7 linked regions of the Callithrix jacchus genome follow. The protein of the gene in region 5 binds, or shares a complex with, the protein of the main gene of each other region. Links are inferred from orthologs where the notes say so. Each region holds a gene or a part of one and is shown on either strand. Other genes may lie near its edges. The genes, in order: TGFBR2, NRROS, ITGB8, ITGAV, TGFB1, TGFBR1 and ITGB6.

Region 1 (3,500 bases), on a different chromosome or scaffold from region 5:
GAGCCCTGGGCTGAATTAGTCTTCAAATATATGCTAGGAAGGGATACTAAATGTAAAAGTAGTTAATGACAGCATAAAATATTTCATTGAGCTGTGAGTGAAGAACACCCTGAAATCCTTTCCCTTTTTTTTTTTCCTGATTGCGCCTTTCTGTAATTTGGGAAAGACTGCAGTTCTTTATCTGGGATGGTTCTTCCCATTTTTCTCAGCAGAACCAGCTGTTGACAAGGAGTATGCCCTTCATACACAATGCTCTGAGGCCCAGCAAACAAAAAAAGAGGAACTGTGACTATCTCCCCAGGCACGCTCTTTGAACACAGTTTAGCTAGACAGGACAGAGTTTGCCAGTTCAACTGAGGGTGTGATGTGAGCTTTGCATAACATTCAGGATGGAAGATTTAAAACGATCCTGAGTACCTAGGAATGTTCTTTTTTCCCATGCCTTCTCCTTTAATGATTTAATTCAGACTTAAATATGTAAAATTCTCCAGCAGGACTGCCCCCATGGAACACTGTCTGCTCCATGTGATGTTTATAACCACAAATGGGTTCCGAGAATAAACAAAGGAAAAACAGAAAAAAGTAGAAAAGCACAGGAGACCAGAGGACAGCCTGCGAATGCTGGAGAACAGGAATCAGGGGCCTTTGTTAGGGAACAACTTTGTGAAGGAAAAGTAGTCCAGATTGCCTTCCTGTATGGAGGCCATAGTATTCATTTATTCTCCTCCTCTCTCTCCCTCTTCCCTCACCCTCAATGAATCTCTGCACTCTAGGAGAAAGAATGACGAGAACATAACACTAGAGACTGTTTGCCATGACCCCAGGCTCCCCTACCATGACTTTATTCTGGAAGATGCTGCTTCTCCAAAGTGCATTATGAAGGAAAAAAAAAAGCCTGGCGAGACTTTCTTCATGTGTTCCTGTAGCTCTGAAGAGTGCAATGACAACATCATCTTCTCAGAAGGTGAGTTTTCTCCTCAGAAGGGACTGGGCCTGACATCTGTGCCAGTTTTTTGCACTGTTGATCTGAAGTGTCACGGACCAAGTTCCTCCTGTGGTGGATTCTGTACAGTGGATTACGAGCCCGTTCCGCTGGTGGGAAGAGGGGCTTAGGGAGGAGCAAGGTTTGTACTGGATCCGATCAAATCTAGTTGACTGGGGCAAACATTATTATTTGTCTTTGACAAATAGTTTCTTTCACCTAGAGCAGTGGTTCTCAAAGTGCAGCCCCTTGAGCAGCCAGCATGAGAATCACCTGGGGACCTGTTATAAATGCAGATTCTCAGGCCCCACTAAATCAGCAACACAGCGGGTGAATCCCAGCTATCTGTATTTTAACAAGCCCTCCTAGTAGTTCTGTGCAGCTAAAATTTGATGACCATTATTCTAGAGATTTGGATGGGGTTGTTTAATCCTGGAGGAGGACTTGCTTTATAACTGAAGCTGTTTCTTGTACATCGTCCCAGGTAGGGTACTGGTCATTGATCCCATTTGAGAGAAACATTGAAATACAGAGAGGAAATAATAAGTCAAAGTTTACCCTTGGAGCCAGGAAAAGAGTAGATTAGATACTAGCCTTCATCTTTGAAGTTCAGGGTTCACTCAGCTTGAAAGGAAGGCACACACTCTTCCCTCAATTTTTAATAAGAGAAGTGACGTTCAGTGGTTGGTTTTTAATTACAAATTAGTATATGTTCTTTATCAGAAATTCCAAACAATCCAACAGTGTGTGAAAATTAAAAATGAAAGTACATTTCCCTCATCCCCTCACTCCCAGTGCAACAGATTATCTGTATTGACAATGGACTGGACGCACACACTGAATGACAGTATCTCTGTCATTCATTCATATCTCCCACTCCCAAACACTCCCTGTCTTCCTTTCTCCTTCCCTCCTTTCATCCTTCTGTCCATCTTTTATCTGTCCCATCCACTCATCCATCTTTCACTCCAACTGTTTTATCATATTGTAAATGTTATATTGCAACACTTTTTACACCCAACCACTTTTACAGTTCTTTCTAAACAAGATGGAACACATAGTTATACTGTACATCTTTCAATTTCAGTCTAGAATTTCATATTATCTTCCGTGATGGATCTAATCATGACCCTGTGCATGGATTATTTTTGTATCGTCAGTTTTTCCACTTCGTGCTACATTAAATATCTTTATCTCATGTATTTGTGCTAATATTTCTGCAAAACAGATTGCTAGAAGTGAAATCTCTGGTTTAGAAATATGTGCATTTTAAATTTGAATAAACACTACTAAACTATTCTCCTCCCAAAAAATATGTAAACACATGGATTTTCATGTGCCTTCTCCAACACTGGGGATGGATACATCTTTTAATTTTACCATCGTGGTAGTGTAAATAAATATTAATAGTACTCTTTTGGCTCTAGGAATGTAAATTCAGGGAAGCGAAAGGTTAGTTTAGTCAACAATGGGTCTGATTTAATTAAAAAATCTTTTTGGAACACAAGTGCTGGCTCTACACCCTATCTCTGCTGCCACGTGTGTTCCACCTCCGAGAAGGGATGTGTCCTCGTGTTTCGTGTTTGGTGCTCAGCAGCACTGCACATCCAGCTTGTTCTCTTCCTGTGTCCTTCACCTACTGCCATTCTCCCTCTTCCTGTCCAGCTCCCCCTAGGCCAACTTCTCAGTGAACTGAAGGCAGGCACACCTTGTCAGGGCAACACTTTCCAGATCACTCTTCCTTCCTATGTTCCCTTCCTACAAATGGTCCATTTCTCTCATTTTCTTTCTTTCTTTCTCTCTTTCTTTCTTTCTCTCTCTCTCTCTCTCTTTCTTTCTTTCTTTCTTTTTCCTTTCTCTCTCTCTCTCTCTCTCTCTCTTTCTTTCTTTCTTTCTTTCTTTTTTAGATGGTGTCTCGCTCTTTCACCAGGCTGGAGTGCCATGGTGCAATCTTGACTCACTGCAACCTCTGCCTCCCAGGTTTAAGCAATTCTCCTGCATCAGCCTCCTGAGTAGCTGGGATTACAGGCATGTGCCACCACGCCCAGCTAATTTTTGTATTTTTAGAAGAGAGGTGGTTTTACCATGTTGGTCAGGCTGGTCTCAAACTCCTGACCTCAGGTGATCCACCCACCTTGGTCTCCCAAAGTGCTGGGATTAGAGGCGTAAGCCACTGTGCCCGGCCTCATTTTCTTTATGTGATTTGAATTAGGAGGGAGATCCAAATGATTAAATCATACTAAACATAGTAATACCCGATATTCTGACTTAACCACATCAGCTTTCTTCAAGTAGTTCACCTTTTAAAAGAAGGCCTAGGCTAAGCCAAAGGAATTAATCTGTAACACTAGAATACCCAGGCACATTTACTAGCACTGAAGAAACTTTTCCCTCCTTATGTATAGTGGCTTGTCTACAGTAGACACGTTTATTTTATTCAAAAGGACAAAAATTGATAAATGGCCTGCAAGTTGGATCTATATTTTAGTATTGAATTTCTTTGTAAAAACATCTCATA
Region 2 (4,181 bases), on a different chromosome or scaffold from region 5:
GTCGCTGATGTGCAATGACACATTAACAAGCATCAGTAAACACAGACATCTGTAAGTATGTAACAGACAGCATGTCCTAAGAAAGGTAGTGTTTTTCAGTCATGGTTGTAAGTCCACCCTCTCCTAACTTATGAGACTATACAATGGATCTATGCATGATGTGATGCACAGTCATTGCCCATAGGAGCATCTGGTTTGTGCTTTGCAATGTGGATACATAGAGAATGCAGGTAGTGATCAGTACTAGCATCTCTCTTCCAAAAGAGTCAAGACCAGAGACAGACAAGTCAATGTATTCTTTTTTTTTTTTTGAGATGGAGTTTCACTCTTGTTGCCTAGGCTGGAGTGCAATGGCACGATCTCAGCTCACTGCAACCTCTGCCTCCAGGGTTCAGGCAATTCTCCTGCTTCAGCCTCCTGAGTAGCTGGGATTACAGGCATGTGCCACCATGCCCAACTAATTTTGTATTTTTAGTAGAGTTCAGTGTTTCTCCATGTTGGTCAGGCTGGTCTCAAACTGCCAACCTCAGGTGATCTGCTCGCCTCGGCCTCCCAAAGTGCTGGGATTACAGGTGTGAGCCACCATGCCCGGCTGGTCAGTGTATTCTCAGTGCAGATCCCAGAACAGAGATATTGGGAGTCCGTGTCTCTTTTGGAGTTTACCGTGCATGTGTCATCACCAAAGAGCAGGAACTCTTGGATGATGGATTTAAAAACTATGAGAGATTATATTTATATGGGTTTTCATGAAGTTCCCATGAGGGTATCCATTAGATGAATGCGGGGTGTGGTGGCTCATGTCCATACTCCCGGCACTTTGGGAGGCTGAGGCAGGAGGATTGCTTGAGCCCAGGAGTTTGAGATCAGCTTGGGTAACACAGCAAAACCCTGTCTCTACAAAAAAAAAAAATTTTAATTAGCCGGCATGGTGGTATGCCCCTGTGGTCCTAGCTGCTCAGATGGCTGAAGCAGGAGGATCATTTGAGCCCAAGGGTTTGAGGATGCAGTGATCTGTGATCATGCCACCATACTTCAGTCTGGGCAACAGAGCAAGAGCGTGTTGCTAAAAATAAATAAATAAATAAATAAAATTTTAAAAAAGTAGTGCCTTCTTTGTGAAGCTGAGTTTTGGGGTTTTTTTTTTTTTTTTTTTTTAACTTAAAGGCATGAGTGAAGGTTTTTTTTTTTTTTCCCCTGGGCCCATGATTTTACAATCTGCTTTAGGAACTCTCAGGCATACACATAGAAACCTAAGGGGTGTGTGAGGAGAATAAATATGACTCAGGGACGTAAAGCCCAGCAAAGCCCCAGCACTCACAGGAACAGTCTGTGTGTCACAGCCAGCGAGTAAAAGGCACACAGGAAAGCATGGAGAGCCAGCTCTGTAGACTCTGAATGTTTCTAGTATCCAGACTCCTAACAGGCTGTATCCATCATGAGGAAGCCTCCAGTGGGGTTCCCTCAGCCCCTCCGGAAGCACACCAGCCCCAACCAGCCGGGTCTAGAGGCTCCATCCTTAGGACCCTGACCCAGTCTCCTCCAGTCCCAGCCACCAACTGGCACAGTTTACCTTCTCAGAGGCAGCACAAAGCCACATTAGTGGCTTCTTCTTTCCATCTAGCTCCTGGGTACATAGAGATGTACACTGACCCCTTCAGAAGCTGGCCCACATGGAGAGGCCACAAGGGCTACAGAAGGGCATCCGAGTCTTAGTCTCCCTCTGATAAACCACGGATCTAAGACTAGGCTAGCTGGCTGGGCTGCTGGGATTACATCTGTAATCCCAGCACTTTGAGAGGCTGAGGTGGGTGGATGACCTAAGGTCAGGAGTTCAAGACCAGCCTGGACAACATGGCGAAATCCTGTCTTTACTAAAAATACATAAATTAGGCAGGTGTGGTGGCACACACCTGTAATTCCAGCTATTCAGGAGGGTAAGGCAACAGAATTGCTCCAACCCAGGAGGAGGCAGAAGTTGCAGTGACCCAAGATCGTGCCACTACGCTACAGCCTGGGAGACAGACTGAGATGTGTCTCAAAAACAAAACAAAACAAAAAAAACCTAGGCTAGCCGTGGATACAAGTCACAGAGCCACAGCGAATCTCCAAGCTTTGCACGTAGTGTCCCCAAGGCCTTGTACAGGCCTGGCACATGGAAGACATCTGTGAACATGTGTTGCTGTTCACCAGTCTTAGTGTCTTCATCTATGAAATAGTGGTTCTCAACCCACGTTGAGAAAGGAGGAAAGGAGATCCCAGCGCTCAGCATGCTGAGTGTGCACAGAGTGGTGTCATCATATCCAGTCGCCCAGCCCAGGAAGGGAGCATGACTGTTCCCATTTTGCAGATGAGAAAACTGAGGCTAGGAAACCTTAACGGCCTGCTCTTATGCTCCCTGCTGAGCCAGGAGTCAAATCCAGGTCTGAGTCTGAAGCCCTCGTGGTTTCTACTACACCGCACCACCTTTTTCACCGTAAGTGCTCCTGGAGGGAGCTATTTCCACCTCCATCCAGAGCTGCAGCCCCCACACCCAGCACAGAATCCCCGTGCTTGGATGCAGCAAGCCACAGCTTCCTGGGCAGCCCTCAGCCTCGGGCCACGGACGCTGACTTCCTACCACCCATCCTCGCCCGAGCTCGCCCACCTGGAGAAGGGCCCTGGCTGTCCCCAGGGGACACCCCCACGCAGGAAATACTCACGGCTCCCGCAGGCCCAGGCGGCTCCGCGGGGCGCATCCTCTCTAGGGGCTCCAGCCTCCTCGAAAGCAGTCGAACGCCAGGCTGGGCTGCCTCCTTTCTCTGGGGCATCAGATTATTTTAGCATTAGCGGAAGGAACAGACGGAAACTGAAGTCACATGGAGAGCGGGCTGCTCAGCGACTCAGCACTCAGCCTCACTTAGATCGCGCTTCTTAGAGGGAACTGCAGCGCGGGGCGCGGGGGATGGGGCGGGCTGAGGGAAAGCGAGCACCTAATACCCTCCGGGCTTAGTCGCCAAGCATCGGGGATATTTTAATGATTTTCCAGCAATGTGAACTAGGCTCCCCTGCTTTCTTGCCTTAGAGCCTTTACAGGGCTGGGGGTGGCCAGCTACGGATCCTTGTCTGTGAGGTCTGCTGACCCAGAAACTTTTCTACAAGGTTCCAGCCAAGGACCAAGCTGAGGCTGACTTTGGGAATGGCAGCACATGGTTTCCACTTGTCAAGAGGGACAACCTGCCGTCTGGAAGAGTCAGCCACTCAGCTAGTCTGTCTTTTTATCCACTCAGCTAGTCCTTATGGATAATCTCCTTTCATGGACCCACACTGTGTTAAAAAGCAGTGGAACTGCTTTGTCGTGAATTGTCAGGGAGTGCCATGAGCTTCTGGATCACAGACTGCATGGATGAGGTTTTTTGTACCTGATGTGTACAAAGTTCCCTGCCAGCTCTTGCCAAGGATTCAAAGGAATAAGAAGCATTGATAATATCGCCATCATCGAAGGAGTGCCAGGCGCTGTGCATTCTCCCAGATCTCCTGTTCTTGAGGAACTACTGTTGTCCAGAGAAGGTGAAATATTTACAGGGTCTGCTGCATGCCCAGTGAGTGACGTGGACCATTATACTAGTAGGCTCAGACGAGGGGTCTCCAGTTCTGATCTCTCATTCCCCTTCAAATCTGGAACGCTGGGCTTGGTGCAGTGGCTCACGCCTGTAATCTCAGCACTTTGGGAGGCTGAGGTAGGAGGCTCACCTGAGATCAGGAGTTTGAGACCAGCTTAGCCAATATGGTGAAACCCCATCTCTACTAAAAGTACAAAAAGTAGCTGGACATGGTGGTGGGTGCCTGCAGTCCCTGCTACTCAGGAGGCTGAGGCAGGAGAATCACTTGAACTGGGGAGGCAGAGGTTGCAGTGAGCTGAGATTGTGCCACTGCACTCCTGCCTGGGCAAGAGAGTGAGACTATCTCAAAAAAAAAAAAAAAAAAAATCTTGAACGTTGAAGTGTCCTGCAGAATTTGGGTCACCTCTCTTGTAGCCTGTGATTTCTGATTTTGGGTACTTTTGTCCATTCTAAGAGAAGAGGAACAGGTCCTTTCTACTCCAAAAATCCAGCAGATTGTCTCTGCTCTCTACAATATTCACTCCTGGCAGGACACAGGGGCTCATGCTTATAATCCTAGCACTTTGGGAGGCCAAGGTGGAC
Region 3 (4,194 bases), on a different chromosome or scaffold from region 5:
TTGTAGCTATATCACAAAAGTACAGCAGTTTATGCTGATCTCTAATTTTCTGAGTTATACTGGCTATAATTTACATTTTTTGCATGTTTTTAACTGCCATGCAAATGAGTATACATCAGAAACCTTTGTATATTGACAGAGACTGGGAAAAGGATGCCTTGTTCTCATTTCAGATAAGCATTCCTTTTCAGGTCTGCAGGTGCAGGGAGGCCCATTCATATTTCCTTCAAATCAGTTTTAGTCAATGGGTGGAAATACAATGGTTTTTCACCAAAGCCTGACTAATGTTTATAAGCACGGTTCATGTTTTTAAAAAATTTACTATAAATGGCACATTTTAGAGGCAAGTAGGACTTTTTCCTTTGCCTATACATTGGGAACAAAATATACTGAGTTAACACAAATTTTGGTCATTTTACTAGTGTGTATGTGTGTGTGTGTGCCTGTGTGTGTGTGTTTACTAAATCAGAAAAACACTTTATTACTTATTGAAACAGGATGGAATTGTGCTCAGTGGAAAATTTGCTGCAACAAATACAGGTTTCTTTTATTTAAGAGATAACTCATAATAAATGTTACTTTTTCCTTTGCCTTTCACTTATTTTGAAATCAACAAACAAGTAAAAAAAATAACCACAAGATACAGAGATTTACTCTAATTTCTCCATTTCAGATAACTGAGTAAATCTCCCTGAAACAAATGTTAGAAAACTATATATGCAACAATTAATTAAAGATAGCTGGATGTTTCCATATGTTTATACATATAAGCCATTTATAAGGTTATGATCTGCTTTGATTAGCTTCAGGCGAAAAACTGGCACATCAAAGTATAGGAGTAAATTTTAACCTATAAAACAATTACAACTATTATGTAAACTTTCCTTGATCCCCAGAGGTCAGAGAGAGGCTCTAATATAATTTAAGGGCTTGGTGAACAAACAGAGAAAAAGTGAAATTAAAAAAAAAATATGACAATAGTCACTGCATTAGCAAAAATAAATGTTGGGCCTATATTGAAAACCATTAAGAACTTAAACTGATGTTAGTCCTATTACTTAGTTGTATAGTTTTCCAACAATCCAATTTGATTGTTTCATAAATCAAAAGTCCCAAAACACCTTCTCATGTGGTATTTGACTTGAACTTTCCTTTGTGATTTGAACTCAGAAGGCAGGTATTCCTATCCTCATTTTACAGATGAGGACAATGAATTTTATAAAGCGTTAACCTCTCTACATCAGGGTAACTGACATAAATGGCTTGCCTGGACAGAAAGTTGTCAATACTGGTCCAGCATTCTTTCTGCTTCTCTGTCTCAGAGATTGATCTTAGCGAGGGATCAATTAGATAGATTTGTTTTTTAAAACAGCTGAAAGGATGGTGACTTAAAGCATGAATATCCCTCCAGTGTGTGTAATTCATTCAGACTGAGCACTAAAGATAACAGAAACTTGGATGTTCTTTTCTGGACTCAAAAACTGAAGACTACTCCCATTATAACCAACTTACCTACAGCCTCGAGTTAAAGGCACGCTAGTTGTTAGTGGACCCAAATATTAGAAAGATGGGATGAAGATTCTGTACAGACGATGCTCTTAAGAATGGACCAGGGCCCCTAAATGACTTCTGTAAACAGGACACCCTCTCTTCCAGAATTCCTTTCTATTATGGCTTCCCCAACACTTACGAATAACACACAGCGTCTCCTGTGATCATTAGTTCTTGCTTTCACTCCAGGGCAGAAAGACACCTGGTCTAGAGACCATCTGTGCTGGAGCACCTGCCACACACCCGCCCTCCTGAAGTTCTCTGATGCCTGCAACTTACCTGGGTGGGATGCTCTGGCCGAGCAGCTCTTCGTGCCAGCCCAAGACATTGGGGAAGAGAAGAAAACAAAACAACAAAACAAAACAACTTACCACCTTGGCCCAGTCCAAGAACAAGTGAAAACACCCAGGCTGCCCAGAAGAACGAGGCGGGACCTCGCCGGTCCTTTTGCAGGCAGGCAGGAACAGCAGTAAAAAAAGCCAGGGCCGAGCCGCACATAATGCAAAACAGCCCGCCTCGCGCCCGCCGCCTGGCTGCTTTCCGGTCTCGTGCTCGCGCCTCACGAGCGCACCTCGGGGGCCGAGTGTCTCTAGGACGTTTCCCGCAGGCCCAGCAGGCGGACCCCGCGGCTCGGAGCAAGCGAAGCAGGTGAGCGGACCCGGGCACTCCTCGTCATCTCAGGGCCCTCGCGGCCCTCCTGCCATGGTACAGCGGGTCCCAGGGTCTCCGCGAGAAGCACCTCCTTCGACTGCCAAGGGCCCCGGCGGCTACTGGAGAGAAGTCTCCTCAAGGGCTCCGCAGCCTGCTCTGGGACAAAGAAAAGAGCTTTTGTTTCTCTCTAGCCGGTGGGACTTCTGCTGCATAAATCGGCTTAGCGAAGAGCCAAACACAATCAAACCCAAACAAAGCCCGAAGCTGGTGGTGAGGGGGGAACCACCCTAATGTACATTCACTGGGTGATGCTGAATCTGTGGGAGGGGACGCTGGTGAGGTCGAGGGGAAAAAGTCGATGGCGCATCAATCTGGGCGGTTTCTTCCACAGGTGGGCAGGCAGGCCACCTCCACTAGTGGCAGCTTGCAGCCTCGTCTGCGGAGCAGCGGGCAACAAGTCGGCAGCGTCCCGGCTGACGAGGGAGGAAGCTCGGGATGCCAGCAACAGGGGGAGGCGGCTGTGGGAGCGCCCTAGAAGCACCCGCTGACATCGGCAGGCACAGAGCGAGACATCGCCTCTCCCTGCCTGGCCGGGAGTGAGGCTGGTGGCCAAGAGCGCAGAAGGGGAGGTTCCCACGGGGTACGGGAACCCGGCTTTGCGGAGCGGGGGCTGCGTGCCCTGGTCGTTTTTGCCTCAGTGCGCGGCTCGGGCGTCCCACAGTCCAGAGCCCAGGTTGCTGGTGCGCTCGGAGGTGCACACTGCTAGGATGCGAGAGAGGCTGGCGAGGGACGGGAGAGGGGTGGTCCTGCTCTGCCCCCAGGGGTGGGGGACTCCACACCTGCCGGTAGCAGGGAGCACTTAGGGCGGAGAGTTGCTAGGAAACCTCCCCACGCTACCGGAGCGCCTAGCTGTTATTGCTGCCCGCAGGAGCGGCGACAGCCCTGGCGGCAGCATCAGTCACAGCTCTGAGCAGCGTGGGCGGGACATTGGTGAGGCATGAAGTCACCTCGGCCCACATTTGCTCTTTGTTTTTCTCACTCGAGCTCTTTCTTTTCCCCCTTGGCTCTGATAGTGGCCATTCCCAAGGTTCACAAGAACTCCTAAAGCGTAGCGGCGCAACAGGAATGGCACGCCTCGTTTCCTTCTCCCTCCTCCCCCGAATCCCTCCACCCTAACGCTCGCTCGAGGCGTGGTGGGACACTCGCTCAGCGGCAGCTGAGAGCAAACCCCAATCTCTCACCCCTGCGCGCTGCTTTGTTCAGAGATACTCACTGCCCCGCAGCTGCTGCATACAAAGTGGAGTCCAGGGGCCTCCCCTGACCCCAACGCCCTCTACTCAGCACTTTGTTTGCAGTTAGGAGCTCGTCCTCTGCTCCGCCACGAGGCTTCCTGGGTCTTCCTAGCCCTTGGAGAGTTGGACCCGTCTGCAGAGGCTGTTCCTGGAGCGACTGGCCAAGATTCCTTGCCGCTCCTTCTCTACTCACAGCCTTAACCCTGGGCTGGACAGCCCTGTTTTTGCCCAGGGTCTGGTGGTGGCTCTGGGCTTTTGCAAGTTACAATGAGTCTTTTGATCTTAAGTGTCACCTTCCCATTAAACGGAACAGAATAGAGACAGCAGCAAAGTGGGGAGAGAGGAGCTAAGGAGAGAAGGTGGGAGACATTTCTGCCTGCTTGCAGCTCAGAAATTTAGGTGCAAGTGGGGAGCGAGTGTTAGGCTGGGCAACTGCCTGTGAAGCAGCGTGCCTCCTCGGGTCCTGTCACTACTACTCTAAGTCCAGGGTGGGAACTGAGTACCCCGCTTTGGAAACAAGGAAACGCGGTGATGGTTCTCTTTTCCCACTAGGGGCAGGAGTGGTTCCCAGTCGAGAAGTTTGACCTCATGTTTTAATACAATCCCCGCCTCTTACAGGCATCAGACCAGTCCAGCCAGGTCAAGGTGAAATATGCGGGAGTTTCCCCCATTCTCATTTGTTTAATAGTTTCCGTCTCCT
Region 4 (3,500 bases), on a different chromosome or scaffold from region 5:
TAAAATGGTGATAAATTATAATGAAAAACATTTTACATCAGCATTTTGATATAAACTCTTACATATAATTAAAAAATAGTGAATGAAAATTTAGTATGACCGAGTATTTACCACTCAATATATGGTGAATTGTAAGAACAAAAAAATAAAGATTAGAGTCTTTAACATGTACCAAAAAAATAGCTCTCCCTAGCCATTGTTTTCAGCCCTTGCTTAGCTAGAGTGGAAACTGACGAAACATAAACAAACAGCCTGAAATTCCACAGTACATCTGTGATGTCAATCATGGTATATTTTTAACTTTGTTTATTATTATTTTTTTACCTTTCCTTGGAGGATATTGTATAATAGTTTGTTGTGCAAATCTATGATGGTGATGACAATATCCAAAAGCATATATAATTCTACAAAATGACATTAGGTCATGTAAGTCAAAAGAATCATGAGTAAAATGAGATCTCTTATCCTGAAGGTAGAAATTTTAACAACGAAACACCTTTGATGTGATATTGTACCCTGAACAAACCACACTGTGATGGAGCCAAGGTCAAACTGAGTCACTGAAGGACATCTCATGAAGCTCACTAAGCACTCCATGAAGATATGGTTCACTAGGATGTCAATAATTAATTCTTACCCATTACATAAATGATCTTATCCTGAGTGTACTGCTTATGAACTAAACCATTTTTTGCAGAGTTGGTTTTATGAATTTCTTTTATAGGTTTAGAAAGAAGGCAATAAAATATCATTATAATGAAGAGCTGCTACTAAGAACATTACCTTAATTCTCAAAGGGTTGATTTCCATATCTGAAGTGCAGTTCATTGGCCCATCAATATCATAATGAAGGATATACAACAGAGTGTTATTGTTATATTTGTAAGGCCACTGGAGATGGAGCATTGCTTTGCTGAATGAACTTGGACCATTGTTTCTCAGCTAAGGAGATAAAAGAAAATGTATCCACACCTTGGGCAAAAATCTATACTATAATCATTCCCCTACATCAACTTTAGAAATCATATTAACAACAGGTTTTAAATAATAGCACAGTTTCCACACTTAACCTATAATTTAATTACAATATGACCATTTTTATGCAAAAATGTTCAAACTCAACATTTGTCTCTAACATAGAGTAATGCATCATGATAAAAATATAAACAAGGCTGGGGGAAGTGGCTCATGCCTGTAATCCCAGCACTTTGGGAGGTCGAGGTGGGTGGATCCCTTGAGGTCAGGAGTTCGTGATCAGCCTGGACAATATGGTGAAACCCCGTCGGTGAAACCCTGTCTCAGCTAAAAATACAAAAATTAGCCAGGCATGGTGGTGCATTCCTGTAATCCCAGTTACTCGGGAAGCTGAGGCAGGAGAATAGCTTGAACCTGGGAGGTGGAGGTTGCAGTGAGCTGAGATCATGCCACTGCACTCCAGCCTGGGCGAAAAGAGCGAGACTCCACCTCAAAAAATATATATAAATATATAAACAAAAGGGGAAAATGTTAAAAAGTTATTAATGAAAGACGACAAAAAATTTTTCTTCCTATAGAAATACAGTTTTGATTATTTGCCATAGGTATTTTTAAATTTTAGCCAGAACTACAAAATGCCCATGACAAAGTACCAATGATTTATTTCTTTTATGCAAGTAGAACTAATTGATTTAAACAACCAATTATATAAATTGCTTTCTTTAAACAAAGCTATTAGTCAAATAAAAATGAACTTATCAATAAGGAAAATACTCAAAGAAATCTCTGACACATACTTAACCAATGCAGAGTTTAAATAAAAATTACATAGAATTGTTTTTGTAAAAATAGCTTAGTTGTTCCTCTCTTTGTTGTCTCGCTCACTAGGTTTGGGTAAAATCCAACACTGCAAACCTCATAGATGTGCTGAACAACTGGCCCAATGTCTTCTTCAGTCTCAGGGTTCTCTTTGTGCTCCCAGTTTGGAATTGGAAGAAAGATATGATCAGGACTCGAGACTCTAAACAATGACCAAAGAAAACCTACCATGAATATCAAAATGATATAGTCAGTTCACTTTCAAAAGTACCCTGTATTTATTACTCAAATGAATAAAATTGGATCTAATTTTAAAAAATAGTTTAAAAGAAAACTAATGAACACACACATGGACAGAAACTGCTCTTATGAAATATACACATAACAGGTGAATTGATAATTTGTGTAAAAGTTCAGTAAACTTATTTTGTGCATGTTGTTGCTAGGTCTTGTTCATTTTGAGGATCACTCAGTATTGGGGGTTTGGAACACACCTAGGATTTTATTTCTACAGAAGCTAATGCCCTAGTAAAACCACCACTAAATGTGTAGTGTCTACTGTCCAGAAGACGCTAAGGCCTGATGGTTACCCTTTAAAAAGCAATCGTGACAAGGTGGTACTCGACTAAGTATTCATACTGACCCTCTTATCTCAACTGCAGCTAAAACAGCAAGGTCAACTTGGTGAGATACAACTGGGCTTACTCTGTCAAAAAGATTTGAGCTGAAATAGAAAAAAAATATTCAGAACTGAATTACACATAACACCAAAAACATACAGAGGCAAACCCAGTGAAACTAAAATTAACACAACAGAAGAAACAAATGTAAAGCTTATACCTCAAAATAATTATTTTCATTAATATTTAATTCCAAGAAGATGAATGTTTTATTTCTGGATTTTAAATTTTGTTTTACAAACTCAAACCTGACAATAAAATTCTTCTAATAATGTAAATACTGATTTTTAAATGCTTTAATGAAGCAATAAATTTTAATCTGTACTATTCTATATTTGAAGTACATTACATAGTATATTTACAACAAATAGTATTTATTCAACAGTTATAAGTGAATACAAGTTGTTTCACACCTTTGGATTTGTAAGTCAAATTTCACAGAAGTATCCATCTCTGACTGCTGGTGCACACTGAAACGAAGACCAGCTAAGAGCTGAAGGAGACAGTAAAAGATAGTAATGTTAGTCAATGTCTAATTAGCAATATTTCAAATCCAATGTCTAAATAAAAAATAATGCTCTAACATGGGATTTTTCTGAGTTTACAATAAAACTGAACAAAGATAATTAAATCTGATTTTCTATCAAATCTGTTTACTTAAGATACCTGGGCCAATCCATAAGAGAGCCTATTTAACAACAATTATTAATCATAATTATACCTTCTTATAATACTAAACACTTTTCTAAAAAATGAAGAAGTAAATGTTTGTTGATACAGTGATAGTCTAGTAACTGGGTACAATGATTTGATAACAGGAAGCTAACAACCAAAGCCTGTGCTGTGTCCATGGGCGAGGAGAGAAGAAATGGATGGTTTACTAGAGAAAGAGAACCTGTCTAAGGAAGACATGAGTAGGGCCACAACCAGAATTTCTCCACACACCTCTCGTAATATTCCCAACACCAAATATCGTAACTCCTGCAAGCAGAAAATCAGTAGACTTTAAATAAAACAAATGAACCA
Region 5 (4,155 bases):
CACGTGGGGAAAAGAGACACACAGGCATTTGTGGGGGAGAACAGGATTGGAGGGATCAGTGTTAAAGGAACCTCTACACAGAAGATGAAGCAAAGAGAAGGCGAGACTAAGACGTGGGTGCGGAGTGGGCGTCACTGGGCTGGAGCAGTAAACTGGCGCAGGAATGGGCCGGTGACCCGCAAGCCCCCACCACCCAAGAGTCAGTGAAACCTCAGGGACCTTCCCCCAGGCTATGAACCACACGGGATGCCTGGGTCCTCGCGTGGGTGCTGACGGGCCGTCTCAGCGGGAGCCCCGCCCATAGCTGGGGTGAAGAGAGCAGGAGGCGCCACAGCCAGGAGAGCCGGGACCAGACCTGCCCCGTCTCGCCCCGGGCTCGGCGAGCGATCCCCGCCCCCACCGGGGGCATGGGAAGGAAAGGGAAGGGAAGAGGGTGAGGCGGCCGGACGCTGGGGTTTCCCCAGCCCCGAGAGGAACTGACTCTGGGCTCCAGACTGCCAGCGTTTAGCACAGCGGGGTCCTCTTGCCCTTTGGTGGAAGAGCAGGCTCCTCCCCCCGCGCGTGGCTCCCACGTGGGGCTTTCTCACCCCTCCCAGCTTGATTTTCTCACCACGGAATTGTAGACTCACCCCCAACCCAGCACTTCCCCAGCGGCTGGGCTCTACTCAGCCCATTCCCCCGCATCCTGCGGCGAATTGGGGGCTCGCTATTCGCAGTGTAGATGGCGCTGGGTATTCTCTCCTCTGCTCCGCTCACGCCACCTTTCCCACGCTTGTCTCCCCTCTCGGTAAAGCCCTTCCCATGACCCACAATTCTAGGTCTCCTGAGAGCTTGATTCCTCCGCTGGGCTCCCACTCTGTCCCTCAAGTCCCAGTGGGAAACACCGAGGACACCTCTGCATCCCCGGCGCCCTCCCGGGTCCCGCTAGCCTCTTCCTTCCAATAACCTCGACTTCCTTTCTCCCCACATTTATCACACCAACCTCTTTCTTTTTCTACGACTCTACCGCAGCCCCGCAGCCCACGTGTTCTTCGCAGCCTCCGGAAGGGGGTCCACTATGGCTTTCCTGGCACCTCCTGGGGTGGCCTTCATCTAGCTTTTCTGTCCTTCTAGAATCTTTCCACCTCAGGACCCCCGCGCTCCGGGTCAACTTTCCCCAGTGCCTCTTTTCCTAAATACTGGTGTTTTCGCTTCTCCCACACCAGGCTCCCCCATCTCTGCAACTCCCACCCCACGGACCCCCTAATTCAACACATCCTGGAAGAAGGAGCCTTCTTCCACCCTCTCCCTATTAGTTCTCTCCCTCTAGGGGACTCCCCCCGCCCCGCGTGACCCCGCATGTTCCCGTCGCCCTCCAGAAGCGGTCCACTTCACTATCTCCTCCTCTCCAAGACCAGGTACCTGGGGGGTAGGGGGCTCAGTGCCATTCTCTTTCGACACGCCCCTCCCACCATCCCACGTTCCCGGTGCCACGGGGGTCCTGTTCCTCCAGGCAGTTTCCTCTGCCAGTCACTTCCTCCCCGTGGCCCCGGCACTCCGGCGCCCCCTGGGGGCCCCCCTCTCGACTCCCCTGCCCCTCCGAGCTCACCGTGGCGGGTTTCCATCATGAACACGCGGGTGACCTCCTTGGCGTAGTAGTCGGCCTCCGGCTCGGGCTCCGGCTCGGCGCTCTCCCCGGCCACCCGGTCGCGGGTGCTGTTGTACAGGGCGAGCACGGCCTCGGGCAGCGGGCCCGGCGGCACCTCTGCCTGATTCGGGGGGCTGGCGAGCCGCAGCTTGGACAGGATCTGGCCACGGATGGCCTCGATGCGCTTCCGCTTCACCAGCTCCATATCGATGGTCTTGCAGGTGGATAGTCCCGCGGCTGGCCGGCCAAGCGTCAGCACCAGTAGCCACAGCAGCGGCAGCAGCAGCGGCAGCAGCCGCAACCCGGAGGGCGGCATGGGGGAGGCGGCGCCCCCCGGCACTGTCGAGAGCGCGAACAGGGCTGATGCGGTGGGGCCCCCGCAGGGGCTGGGGGGTCTCAAGGGAAAGTTGAGGTCCTCAGAGCGCAGTGGTGGAGGGGAGGCTTTGACCGGGGTGTCGCAGTATCCTGTGTAAATAAGCTAGATGGGCGAGATCTGGTACCAGAAGGTGGGTGGTCTTGAATAGGGGATCTGTGGCAGGTCGGAGAGATCCGACTCCCGGAGGAGAAAGGGTCTAGGATGCGCGGGGACTCGGGAGACAGGCCGGAGATGAACGCGGTGTGCAGGGGGTGCGCCCGAGGTCTGGGGAAAAGTCTTTGCTGGAGGCCGGGTCGGCGACTCCCGAGGGCTGGTCCGGAATGGGGGCGCCTGAGGGACGCCGTGTAGGGGGCAGGGAGGGAGCAAGTGTCCCCGGCGGTGAGGGGAGGCGGTCTGGGGTCCCCAAGTCCTGCCTCCTCACGGGGTAGCGTCGCGCCAAGAGGTCCCCGTGCCTCCGGCTCCCAGCGGCAACGGAAAAGTCTCAAAAGTTTTTTTCCTCTTCTCCCGACCAGCTCGTCCCTCCTCCCGCTCCTCCTCCCCCTCCTCCCCGCAGTGGCGGGGGCGGCTGCGGCGGCGGCTGGTCTCAGACTCTGGGGCCTCGGGCTGCTCCTCGGCAACTCTTTCCTCTGCTCCGGGCTGAGGCCGGCCCCGCGGGCGGCTGAGCCGGGGGGTGCCCCGGACGGGGCGTCCCCCCTGCCCCCGGCCGGGGCCCTCGCTGTCTGGCTGATCCGTGGAGGGAGGTGGGAGGGAGATGGCCCAGGGCGCGAAGGGCGGTGGCGGCGGGGACCCGCTGGGTCGGCGGGGGGGGGGGGGGGGGGGGGGGGGTTTGAAGCCGCCCCGGCCCCACCCAGGAAGCTCACGGGGCGGGAGCGGGGGCGGCTCCCAGGGGGTAGGCATGGGGGGGGCTGGGCCACCGTCTTCATCTCGCGTGGGCCGGCTCCGAGGGGGGTCCCTTCAGCCCTGGGGGGAAAGGGGCGGGCACCCCGGCTCCGCCCCACAAACAGGGTGCTGCCTCCTGGCGGCCAAGCGCCACCAAAGCGGGTGCTCCAGATGCGCTGTGGTTTTGCCGGGCGGTATGGGTCACCAGAGAAAGAGGACCAGGCGCAGAAGGCTTAATCCGGGGGATGAGACACAGGGCAGCCAACTGGGAGAGGGTGACCCAGAATGGGAAGAGTGTGAGGCTGAGGCACAGGCTGGGGAAGAGGGTCTGTCACGGTGGGGGCCTGGGAAGGGTGTCAGTGGGAGGAGGAACAACAGGACACCAGAGAAATGGAGGAGTCAGGAGGCAGACACCTGTAAGAATTGTTCTCCTTTACTGAACACCTCCCTTGTGCCAAGCAGCCTCTTGACCCAACATCCTGCGACCCTACACATTTACTGTCCCCAACTTACAGATACAGAAACTGGGTCCAGAGTGAGCCAGAGGTCCTTGAAAGGACAGAAGCAGAGCTATATCTTAGCTGGGGTCAGCTCTGATGGTCTCCAGAGTCCATGCTCTTGACCCCTGTGCCATCCTGCCCTTCACGGGGAATCCAGGAGTGCAGGTGATGGTGGCGGCGTTGGAGGCAGGGTCCCTCAGCACTCAACGCCGTAGCGGTCGAAGTGGCGCAGCAGCAGGCTGATCTCCAGGTGCACGGTGCCACCAGCAGCTGTGTGCAGGCGATAGCGGTCGGCACCACTGTAGATGGTGTCCCCATGCAGCAGCTGCGGCCCTCCACCCACAAAAGCCCGTGCCAGCTGTTCCCGCCAACTGCCAAGGGGCCGCCATGTGGGACAGGCCAGCTGGTGGGTGCCTGGGCTGCTGGGCACATGGCAAAATCCATAGCCTGCAAGCTGGCAGCGGCCAAAGCTGTCCTGGGACCACACCTGGAAATGGAGCCGGGGCCAGCCTGTAGGAAAGGAGGGAGAGGGGACAGAAGGGATGGGTGGGGACCAGCCTCCTGCCCCTGATTCCCTCCTCCTCAATGCCCACTGGGCACCCCAGGGCCAGTCCCTTCCTCTCTGGGTTTCTGTCCTAGGGTTTCCAACCCAGCCTCCTTTTTAGGCTCCCACCCTCTCATCTACCCTCACACAAAGGCCAAACAGATCTTTACAAATCGATGTTACTCACCCTGCTCAAGATCCTTCCATAGCTCCCCAGTGCCCTTGGTAC
Region 6 (3,137 bases), on a different chromosome or scaffold from region 5:
ATTGGGGAACTGATAGCACTATAAAGTCAAAGTTGTGGCTCACAGCTAGGATAGTTTTTCCTCCCCTTGGAATAAGATCACAGTGATAAAAGGACTTTGAAAACTGCAAAAGCCCTGCAGAGACTTTATAGCATTGGAAGTAAAAACCAGTTATTACAAGCTAGTTTCAACTTAATGTGAGAAGACCATGACAAGTTTGCTTTCAATATTTAACTTGACAAAAACATCTGTAAAAATGGAGAAGAACCTATACTCAGAATGTTCTTTAGCTACCACCTCTTCCAAATATCAAGGGTGCAATGAATGCATTACATAAATTACATGTAAAGTAAGCAGTTGCAGTGTACGCACACATAAGGAAACACTGAATTAAAAGCTGCCTTCCTCAAAGTGTAGTGAGACCTCAAAATCATACTAGCTCTAACCTCAGTTACAAAGACAGAGGATCCACCAAACATTCCTACATAACCAATGTGACTCTTGCACATCTGTTATCTATTCAAATTACTAACTACCTTTGCCTTCCTGGAAAAAGGCCTATTATTTAACATTAACCATATTCTAATTTTAAATGTAATTCCTTTCTTAAAAAAATAACACTGTCTTTGAACAGATAAAGAAAAAAATGGCTTACAGAATACCACATAACTTTTCACAAACAGCTAGACAAACTTTCCCTTTTAGAAAAATTAGTCTGTATGATACAAATATTAAAGTACTATAAGCATGTAGAGTGCCACTTGCTATTTTAAAAGTATACTTAGACAACACAATTAAAATGCAAAAGCTTGATGTGAGAATATTCAAACATGACCATGCTAACAATGTACTAATTAATGCCACTTCATTTCTTTAGTGGCTTAAGCACATTTTGGTAGAAGAAAGGCATTTTCAAAATAGAATACCAAATGACATACCACAAAAACCTTTCCAAAAAACAAAACAGAAAAAGTTTGGGATACCCACATAAATAAGCTTTTTGAATTCAAACACTATAGGTTTTAACATAGAGACTTTCAGCAATTCTACTCATTTCCATTAAAAAGACACAGAAGTGGCACTTACTGGTATAGTACAATCCCATTTTGAAGGCATGTAATGTTCTGAATAAGTGAAAGAACAATAATAGTATACAAAATACAATTGCATAAATTATGTTCCTCACTACTATATGAGGTCATTTTTAGACTCAAGATAAGAGTTTTATAAGTGTTAGTTTTAAGATCCTGAAAAACTATAGGAGAGTACATTCAAAGTCTGAATCAAGGAAACTCTAGTGGTTCAGAATCCTCTGAGAATGTACTAACCAGGAGTAAATCACTTTCTTTAATAATAAGAAATGTTTTATTATAACTCAGTAATCCAACTCCTTTGCCCTTAAAGATGATCTTCAGCACAGCAGAGTTACCTACAGTTAAGACCAGCAATCATCTTTTTAAAAAACAAGTTTTGTTAATAAAAAATAAAGGTAGACTACACAACATTTTGTAACTGTCCTGGCAAAGAAGCGTTCATAGTGCACAGAAAGGACCCACATGGCTGTTTACTGGGTCCAAAGAAATCCTGGGAAGTTTTAATTGCCTTTATTACACTGCTGCAAAAGGAAGCAACATCCTTCTGTTCCCTCTCAGTGAGGTAGAACAATTGACCTCCCAAATTAAAACCCAGGAGCAGATCTGAAGAAAAAAGTCGAGTTCAAGCAAAGCTGCAGAATTACATTTTGATGCCTTCCTGCTGACTGAGTTGTGATAATGTTTTCTTAATCCGCAATGCGGTAAGCCTAGCTGCTCCATTGGCATACCAACATTCTCTCATAATTTTAGCCATTACTCTCAGGGCCTACAAGAAAATACAAGAAAAATAATTAATGCATGTACCATTTTCCACTGGTCTGGATAAGAATCTTTACCTGTAAACTTTCTTTTTAAATGACAGATAAACATTCGTTGTTGTTGTGGAAGCATTATTTGTAACAGCAAATGAGTAGAAATTACATAAATTTCCATCAACAGAGTATTGGTGTCAGTGCTGGAAAGCAGGTGGACAAAGACTTAGCAAACCTGAAAAAGCCAAATCCTAAACCAGAGCTGGGCAAAGCAAAGAAGAAACCTGACCTCACTAAACTTTTAAGTTTGTACTTTGAAGCATCCAGATCAAATTTTTCTTTTTGAGACAGGGTCTCTCACTCTGTCGCCCAGAGTGGAATGTAATGGCACGCTCTCAGCTCACTGTAGCCTTGACCTCCCAGGCTCAAGCAATCCTCCCACCTCGGCCTCCCAACTAGATAAAATTTCTAAAAGACAAAATCTAGCAGCACTCTTATGTCACATGCAAATCCTTTGAGCATGCTGAAATACATTTTATCTGGGCCTGGAGATGATTTTGTTGGAGGTAGCAAGCTCTGTTGGTTATTAGAGGTTCTGCTGAGTCCTACAATATTTTAAGATGTAAAACCAACTACTGAACTGAACAGCTTTTTATAGCCTTTTAAGCTATACAACTTCAAACCTGGAGGAATAGTCCCCGCTTTACTAATTTTATAATAGTAACAGCTAGCAATTAAGGAGAGAGAGGTTAAAGAAAATTTGTCTTACGAATCCTTAAATTTGCAATTACAAAAACATTTCTAAAACTTTTGTTAGAGCTGATGAGAAGCTCAGACACTCCTGGAAAAAAGCATTTTCCCCAAATTCCTGGTTAATGGTCATCTAGGCAATCAGATGAATGAAATGGAAAATCATTTGAAACACCTTTGTAATCACCTTATCTGAGTTCCTCACCTTACAAAGGGATATTAAGGTCCAGAGAACTGAAGTGATTTGTTCAAAGTTAGATCCTTAAAATGGTAGCCAGGCTGGTCTAGAATACATGTCTCCTTATTCCTGTCCAGGAACTGTCCACTATTCTGGGTTGTCCTGGCTGAAGGTAGGCCAGGCGCGGTGGCTCACGCCTGTAATCCCAGCACTCTGGGAGGCCGAGGCGGGTGAATCACGAGGTCAAGAGATCGAGACCATCCTGGTCAACATGGTGAAACCCCGTCTCTACTAAAAATACAAAAAATTAGCTGGGCATGGTGGCGCGTGCCTGTAATCCCAGCTACTCGGGAGGCTGAGGCAGGAGAATTGCTTGAACCCAGG
Region 7 (3,500 bases), on a different chromosome or scaffold from region 5:
TGGAAATGCAAAATGTACATTCGCTTTGGAAAACAATTTGGTAGTTTCTTTAAAAATTATACAGTTCAGCAATTCCAGTTTAGGTGTCTATTGTGAAGAGAAGTAAAAGCATACATCCATTCAAAGACTTCAGTGCAAGTGCTCACAGCAGCCTTTTCATAATAGCCCCCTAAAATAGAAACAACTCAAATGTTCTCCAATGAAAGAATGAGTAAACAAAATATAGTAAATAAATACAATGGATTGTTAACTGAAACGAAAAGAAGCAAACTCCTGATACATACAAAGTCATAGGTAAATCTTGAAAACATTATGTTGAACCAAAGAAGCCAAACACAGAGGGCATATACTACATTACATATTTATATAAAATTCAGGAATAGGTAAAACCAATATAAATTATCGACTTCGGAAAGCGGTTGCCTTTGAAGTGGTAGAACTGACTGTAATGGGAAATTTCTGAGGTGATGAAAATATTCTGCATCATGTTTTGGATACTGATTGCAATGGTATATTTAACCATCAAAACACATCAAACTAAACATTTTCCATCTGTGCATTTTAGGCATGTCAACTATACGTCACAAGGAATTGTGAGGAGTAGGCAGACAGTGTACTTATTGCCCCTATTTTCCTCCTTTCCTCCTGACTGAAATGAAGAAGTGATGATTAGTACCCCAGCACCATTCTTGGACCATGAAGATAAAATCCAAGTGTCAATAATGGTGAAACAGAGAGCAGAAAAAGGCCTGGATTCCTCATGTTTTTGAATCTGCCATACATCCCTGAATGGCCTTCCTCTGGTCCTTATATAAAAAAACAGAAGAAAATATTGGCTGGGCATAGTGGCTCATGCCTGTAATCCCAGCACTTTGGGAAGCTGAGGCAGGTGGATCACTTGAGGTCAGGAGTTTGAGAACAGCCTGGCCAACATAGTGAAACCCAGTCACTACTAAGACTACAAAAAATTAGCCGGGTGTGGTGGCAGGCGCCTGTAATCTCAGTTACTCAGGAGGCTGATGCAGAAAAATTGCTTGAACCCAGGAGGCAGAAATTGCAGTGAGCTGAGATCATGCCACTGCACTCCAGCCTGGGTGACAGAGTAAAACTCCATCTCAAAAACAAACAAACAAACAAACAAACAAACAAACAAACAAAAAACCTCCCTTTTTAAGCCACCATCACAGATATTTAAAACCAAACACAATTTTTAAGTGTTACAATCATTGAAAAGTTCCTTTTATGGTTAAATTATTTTTGATTATGTTAGATTGTAGTTGGGGGCTACATTGAGATTTTTTTAAATGGTATAATAAAAGCTATTTATCTTTTATAGAGATTGATGCTTTTGGTGTATAAAAGTATTATGTCAATAAACATTTGGAAAATTATTTCATATATATTAGATGTATAGTAGTAATGGGCTTGCTTTTGGGACAAATCGAATATGGGTACAGATCATGGGTTTGTCATGTGGCCTTGGGCAAATAGCTAACCTCTCAGAGCCTCTTATTTCTTCTGAGTATAGAGCTGGTGTTATTAAGCTTTAACCTGCTGTTATGAAGACTGAATGAGGTCATGTGTGTAAAACCTTCAGCACAAGGTCTGGCACAGAGCATATAGTAGCTCTTTTTCAATAGGAGAATATTAAATAGTTTGTTTCTGAACATGTCATTCACTTAACAGGTAAGCCATCACAAAGCAATTTGTCCTCCACCATCACCTGAATAATATGTGGTTTTAATAGCTTATTATAACATATTAGAATGGAGTCATTGCCTATGAAATCATTTACTACTGAATTTAATAGCTATGAAGGCTGCCCAGGCCTTCTCCAAGCAATAGGAGAAACAAATATTTCCCAAAGTACATCAGAGAAAGTTGCAAAAATTATTATTTTGCCAGAAGTCATTGTTGTGGAGAAACATTCTGGGAAAGTGAAGTTATTCTCCAATAACCTCAGAAAGTGGTGGCCACTGAGACTAGAAAGTGTGTGAAAGACTGGGCGAGGTGCCATCCAGCGGAGCCTATGGTGAAAGCCTTGGTCCCCTTGTCTGCATAACACACATTCTGGTTTGCTACAACCTGCCCTACACTGGAAGGCAGATGCAGAGGCTGCAAGAAGCCATGGCTAGAACCATGTAGTTCAGATGACCTCACCTCCACTCCAAGCAACCTAGGCACTGGAGAGAACTGCTGAGATCCAACCAGATGAAGCAGAAATGCCAGGGAGTTAGCAAGCTCCTGGCAAGTGCAGCTCAGAGCCGGGGTATCTCCACAAAAAATCAGTGCACGAAGATGCCAAGGGAATCATTTGCTTACCTGCAAGGGTTGGCAATTTCTTCTGGTGTTGTTTTCACAAAAGGGGATACAGGTTTTTCAACAAATGATCCGAAGCCCAGTCTAAAGTTGCTGGTTAATTTAGACATCTCCTTGGAAAGCCGGGATCCCAGCTCCTTGATTGTGTGGAGGTCATCATCCATGGAGGCGGAGAGGTCCATGAGGTAATACAAATCCACCGGATAGTCCTCGGTCTGGCGGACATGCACTTGCAGAGTCTGTGCACCACCTGCAAAGACCAATGGGAAAAGCAAACCCAGAAAAACACACTGAGATTCATTTGCAACTGGCCAGTTGCTGGGTCAGCTGGCTATTACACCTCAGTAAGAACTTACTGAAAGTCAAGGTCCTAAATGAACCAACCCATAAAAATTTTTCAGCAGGGAGTTTAGAACTACTGGAGGATAAGTTAGGATATTTTATATCTCCTTGGGAGAACTAGCATCCATTTAGATAGAAGATAAGCTGAATTTTTTGTGCTTCGTTTTAGAAAAGAGGCATCTAATAAAAGAGAGTTTAAATCTACATTACAACCCTTGAAGAGATGTGAGGTAAGCCTTAACAACATTTGAGTAATTTAAATGGTTACTATTAGAGAAGGCTTCTTTAGTAACACATTTGGAGTGCCAGGGACCAATGTGAATAAAGAAAAGTGTGAGCCTAGCAATTTTCTATTTCCTTAAGAATGGGAAATTCGAGGCATAATAATCAATGTAATACAATACAAGACACATTAGTGGAGTAGAAGAATTGCCATATATGACATCAGATCTATTTACATGAGCCAAATCCTAACATACCTGGTCTCAACTTCAGGATCAAGCTTTGAGGTGCAATCTGAACAATGTCAGAACTATTTTTCTGTGTGCCTACACTGAGAGGCTTATTTTTAAGTATTTCTACTTGTGAGACAGGGTTTTCGATGAAGTTTAATTGACATCCTTTAGCTAATAGGTTTGCTGGGGTATCACACCTTTCGCCAACTCCAGATGAGTGGGTAAAATTCTAAAAAAGAAAAAAGAAAATCAATAACTAGAAAAAGAAAACAAATCTGAATTTCTTATAAGATACCAGCAATTGAAAGTTTTTTATTATACATAGAAAGGAACAACCAGTATTAACCTTTCTAAAAATATACCAAAAAGTAAACAGCATCAACA

The links.
Region 1: the proteins of TGFB1 (region 5) and TGFBR2 are in contact, whole or in part, in a cryo-EM structure (PDB 9FKP), measured with the Homo sapiens proteins. The link is inferred for Callithrix jacchus from reciprocal best matches to the Homo sapiens genes TGFB1 and TGFBR2. Residues at the interface, in NP_000651.3 of Homo sapiens: Arg303, Lys309, Trp310, His312, Tyr368, Tyr369, Val370, Gly371, Arg372, Lys373; in NP_003233.4 of Homo sapiens: Phe47, Leu50, Phe53, Asp55, Ser72, Ile73, Thr74, Ser75, Ile76, Cys77, Glu78, Val100, Asp141, Glu142.
Region 2: the proteins of TGFB1 (region 5) and NRROS are in contact, whole or in part, in a cryo-EM structure (PDB 7Y1R), measured with the Homo sapiens proteins. The link is inferred for Callithrix jacchus from reciprocal best matches to the Homo sapiens genes TGFB1 and NRROS. Residues at the interface, in NP_000651.3 of Homo sapiens: Leu30, Ser31, Thr32, Cys33, Thr35; in NP_940967.1 of Homo sapiens: Phe194, Glu195, Ile196, Glu197, Gly198, Gly199, Phe201, Leu210, Leu212, Pro218, Cys219, Ile220, Val221, Asp222, Phe223, Gly224, Leu225.
Region 3: the proteins of TGFB1 (region 5) and ITGB8 are in contact, whole or in part, in a cryo-EM structure (PDB 7Y1T), measured with the Homo sapiens proteins. The link is inferred for Callithrix jacchus from reciprocal best matches to the Homo sapiens genes TGFB1 and ITGB8. Residues at the interface, in NP_000651.3 of Homo sapiens: His117, Thr241, Arg243, Arg244, Gly245, Asp246, Leu247, Thr249, Ile250, His251, Gly252, Met253; in NP_002205.1 of Homo sapiens: Ser156, Ala157, Ser158, His160, Asn161, Asp213, Tyr214, Asn215, Leu216, Gly248, Asn249, Ile250, Asp251, Thr252, Glu254, Gln286.
Region 4: the proteins of TGFB1 (region 5) and ITGAV are in contact, whole or in part, in a crystal structure (PDB 5FFO), measured with the Homo sapiens proteins. The link is inferred for Callithrix jacchus from reciprocal best matches to the Homo sapiens genes TGFB1 and ITGAV. Residues at the interface, in NP_000651.3 of Homo sapiens: Gly242, Arg243, Arg244, Gly245; in NP_002201.2 of Homo sapiens: Asp178, Asp180, Phe207, Tyr208, Gln210, Ala245, Asp248.
Region 6: the proteins of TGFB1 (region 5) and TGFBR1 are in contact, whole or in part, in a crystal structure (PDB 3KFD), measured with the Homo sapiens proteins. The link is inferred for Callithrix jacchus from reciprocal best matches to the Homo sapiens genes TGFB1 and TGFBR1. Residues at the interface, in NP_000651.3 of Homo sapiens: Ala279, Leu280, Asp281, Asn283, Tyr284, Tyr328, Ile329, Trp330, Gln335, Lys338; in NP_004603.1 of Homo sapiens: His39, Leu40, Thr42, Lys43, Phe55, Asn68, Met70, Ile78, Phe84, Val85.
Region 7: the proteins of TGFB1 (region 5) and ITGB6 are in contact, whole or in part, in a crystal structure (PDB 5FFO), measured with the Homo sapiens proteins. The link is inferred for Callithrix jacchus from reciprocal best matches to the Homo sapiens genes TGFB1 and ITGB6. Residues at the interface, in NP_000651.3 of Homo sapiens: Pro70, Gly71, Pro72, Glu75, Leu158, Asn237, Gly245, Asp246, Leu247, Thr249, Ile250, His251, Met253, Asn254; in NP_000879.2 of Homo sapiens: Ser142, Ala143, Ser144, Asp146, Asp147, Pro196, Cys197, Ser199, Ile200, Pro201, Tyr202, Lys228, Lys231, Ile232, Ser233, Ala234, Asn235, Ile236, Asp237, Thr238, Glu240.

Annotation. Positions count from the first base shown.
Region 1 is NC_133518.1:68,878,746-68,882,245, forward strand, and holds part of TGFBR2 (TGF-beta receptor type-2), read left to right. Parts: intron 1-773; coding exon 774-964; intron 965-3,500. UniProt on the Homo sapiens protein: Transmembrane serine/threonine kinase forming with the TGF-beta type I serine/threonine kinase receptor, TGFBR1, the non-promiscuous receptor for the TGF-beta cytokines TGFB1, TGFB2 and TGFB3.
Region 2 is NC_133516.1:25,478,725-25,482,905, forward strand, and holds the start of NRROS (transforming growth factor beta activator LRRC33), read right to left. Parts: upstream 2,801-4,181; 5' UTR 2,700-2,800; intron 2,689-2,699; exon of another isoform or gene 2,117-2,688; intron 1,923-2,116; exon of another isoform or gene 1-1,922. UniProt on the Homo sapiens protein: Key regulator of transforming growth factor beta-1 (TGFB1) specifically required for microglia function in the nervous system.
Region 3 is NC_133512.1:37,927,621-37,931,814, forward strand, and holds the start of ITGB8 (integrin beta-8), read right to left. Parts: upstream 2,801-4,194; 5' UTR 2,050-2,800; coding exon 1,923-2,049; intron 1-1,922. UniProt on the Homo sapiens protein: Integrin alpha-V:beta-8 (ITGAV:ITGB8) is a receptor for fibronectin. It recognizes the sequence R-G-D in its ligands.
Region 4 is NC_133507.1:42,317,826-42,321,325, forward strand, and holds part of ITGAV (integrin alpha-V), read right to left. Parts: intron 2,968-3,500; coding exon 2,888-2,967; intron 2,519-2,887; coding exon 2,438-2,518; intron 1,997-2,437; coding exon 1,891-1,996; intron 943-1,890; coding exon 784-942; intron 1-783.
Region 5 is NC_133523.1:36,630,758-36,634,912, forward strand, and holds the start of TGFB1 (transforming growth factor beta-1 proprotein), read right to left. Parts: upstream 2,801-4,155; 5' UTR 1,944-2,800; coding exon 1,589-1,943; intron 1-1,588. Other genes in the region: B9D2 (B9 domain-containing protein 2), read right to left, coding at 3,579-3,892. UniProt on the Homo sapiens protein: Transforming growth factor beta-1 proprotein: Precursor of the Latency-associated peptide (LAP) and Transforming growth factor beta-1 (TGF-beta-1) chains, which constitute the regulatory and active subunit of TGF-beta-1, respectively.
Region 6 is NC_133502.1:147,268,848-147,271,984, reverse strand, and holds part of TGFBR1 (TGF-beta receptor type-1), read right to left. Parts: intron 1,840-3,137; coding exon 1,714-1,839; 3' UTR 1-1,713. UniProt on the Homo sapiens protein: Transmembrane serine/threonine kinase forming with the TGF-beta type II serine/threonine kinase receptor, TGFBR2, the non-promiscuous receptor for the TGF-beta cytokines TGFB1, TGFB2 and TGFB3.
Region 7 is NC_133507.1:69,659,830-69,663,329, reverse strand, and holds part of ITGB6 (integrin beta-6), read right to left. Parts: intron 3,346-3,500; coding exon 3,141-3,345; intron 2,570-3,140; coding exon 2,323-2,569; intron 1-2,322. UniProt on the Homo sapiens protein: Integrin alpha-V:beta-6 (ITGAV:ITGB6) is a receptor for fibronectin and cytotactin. It recognizes the sequence R-G-D in its ligands. Internalization of integrin alpha-V/beta-6 via clathrin-mediated endocytosis promotes carcinoma cell invasion.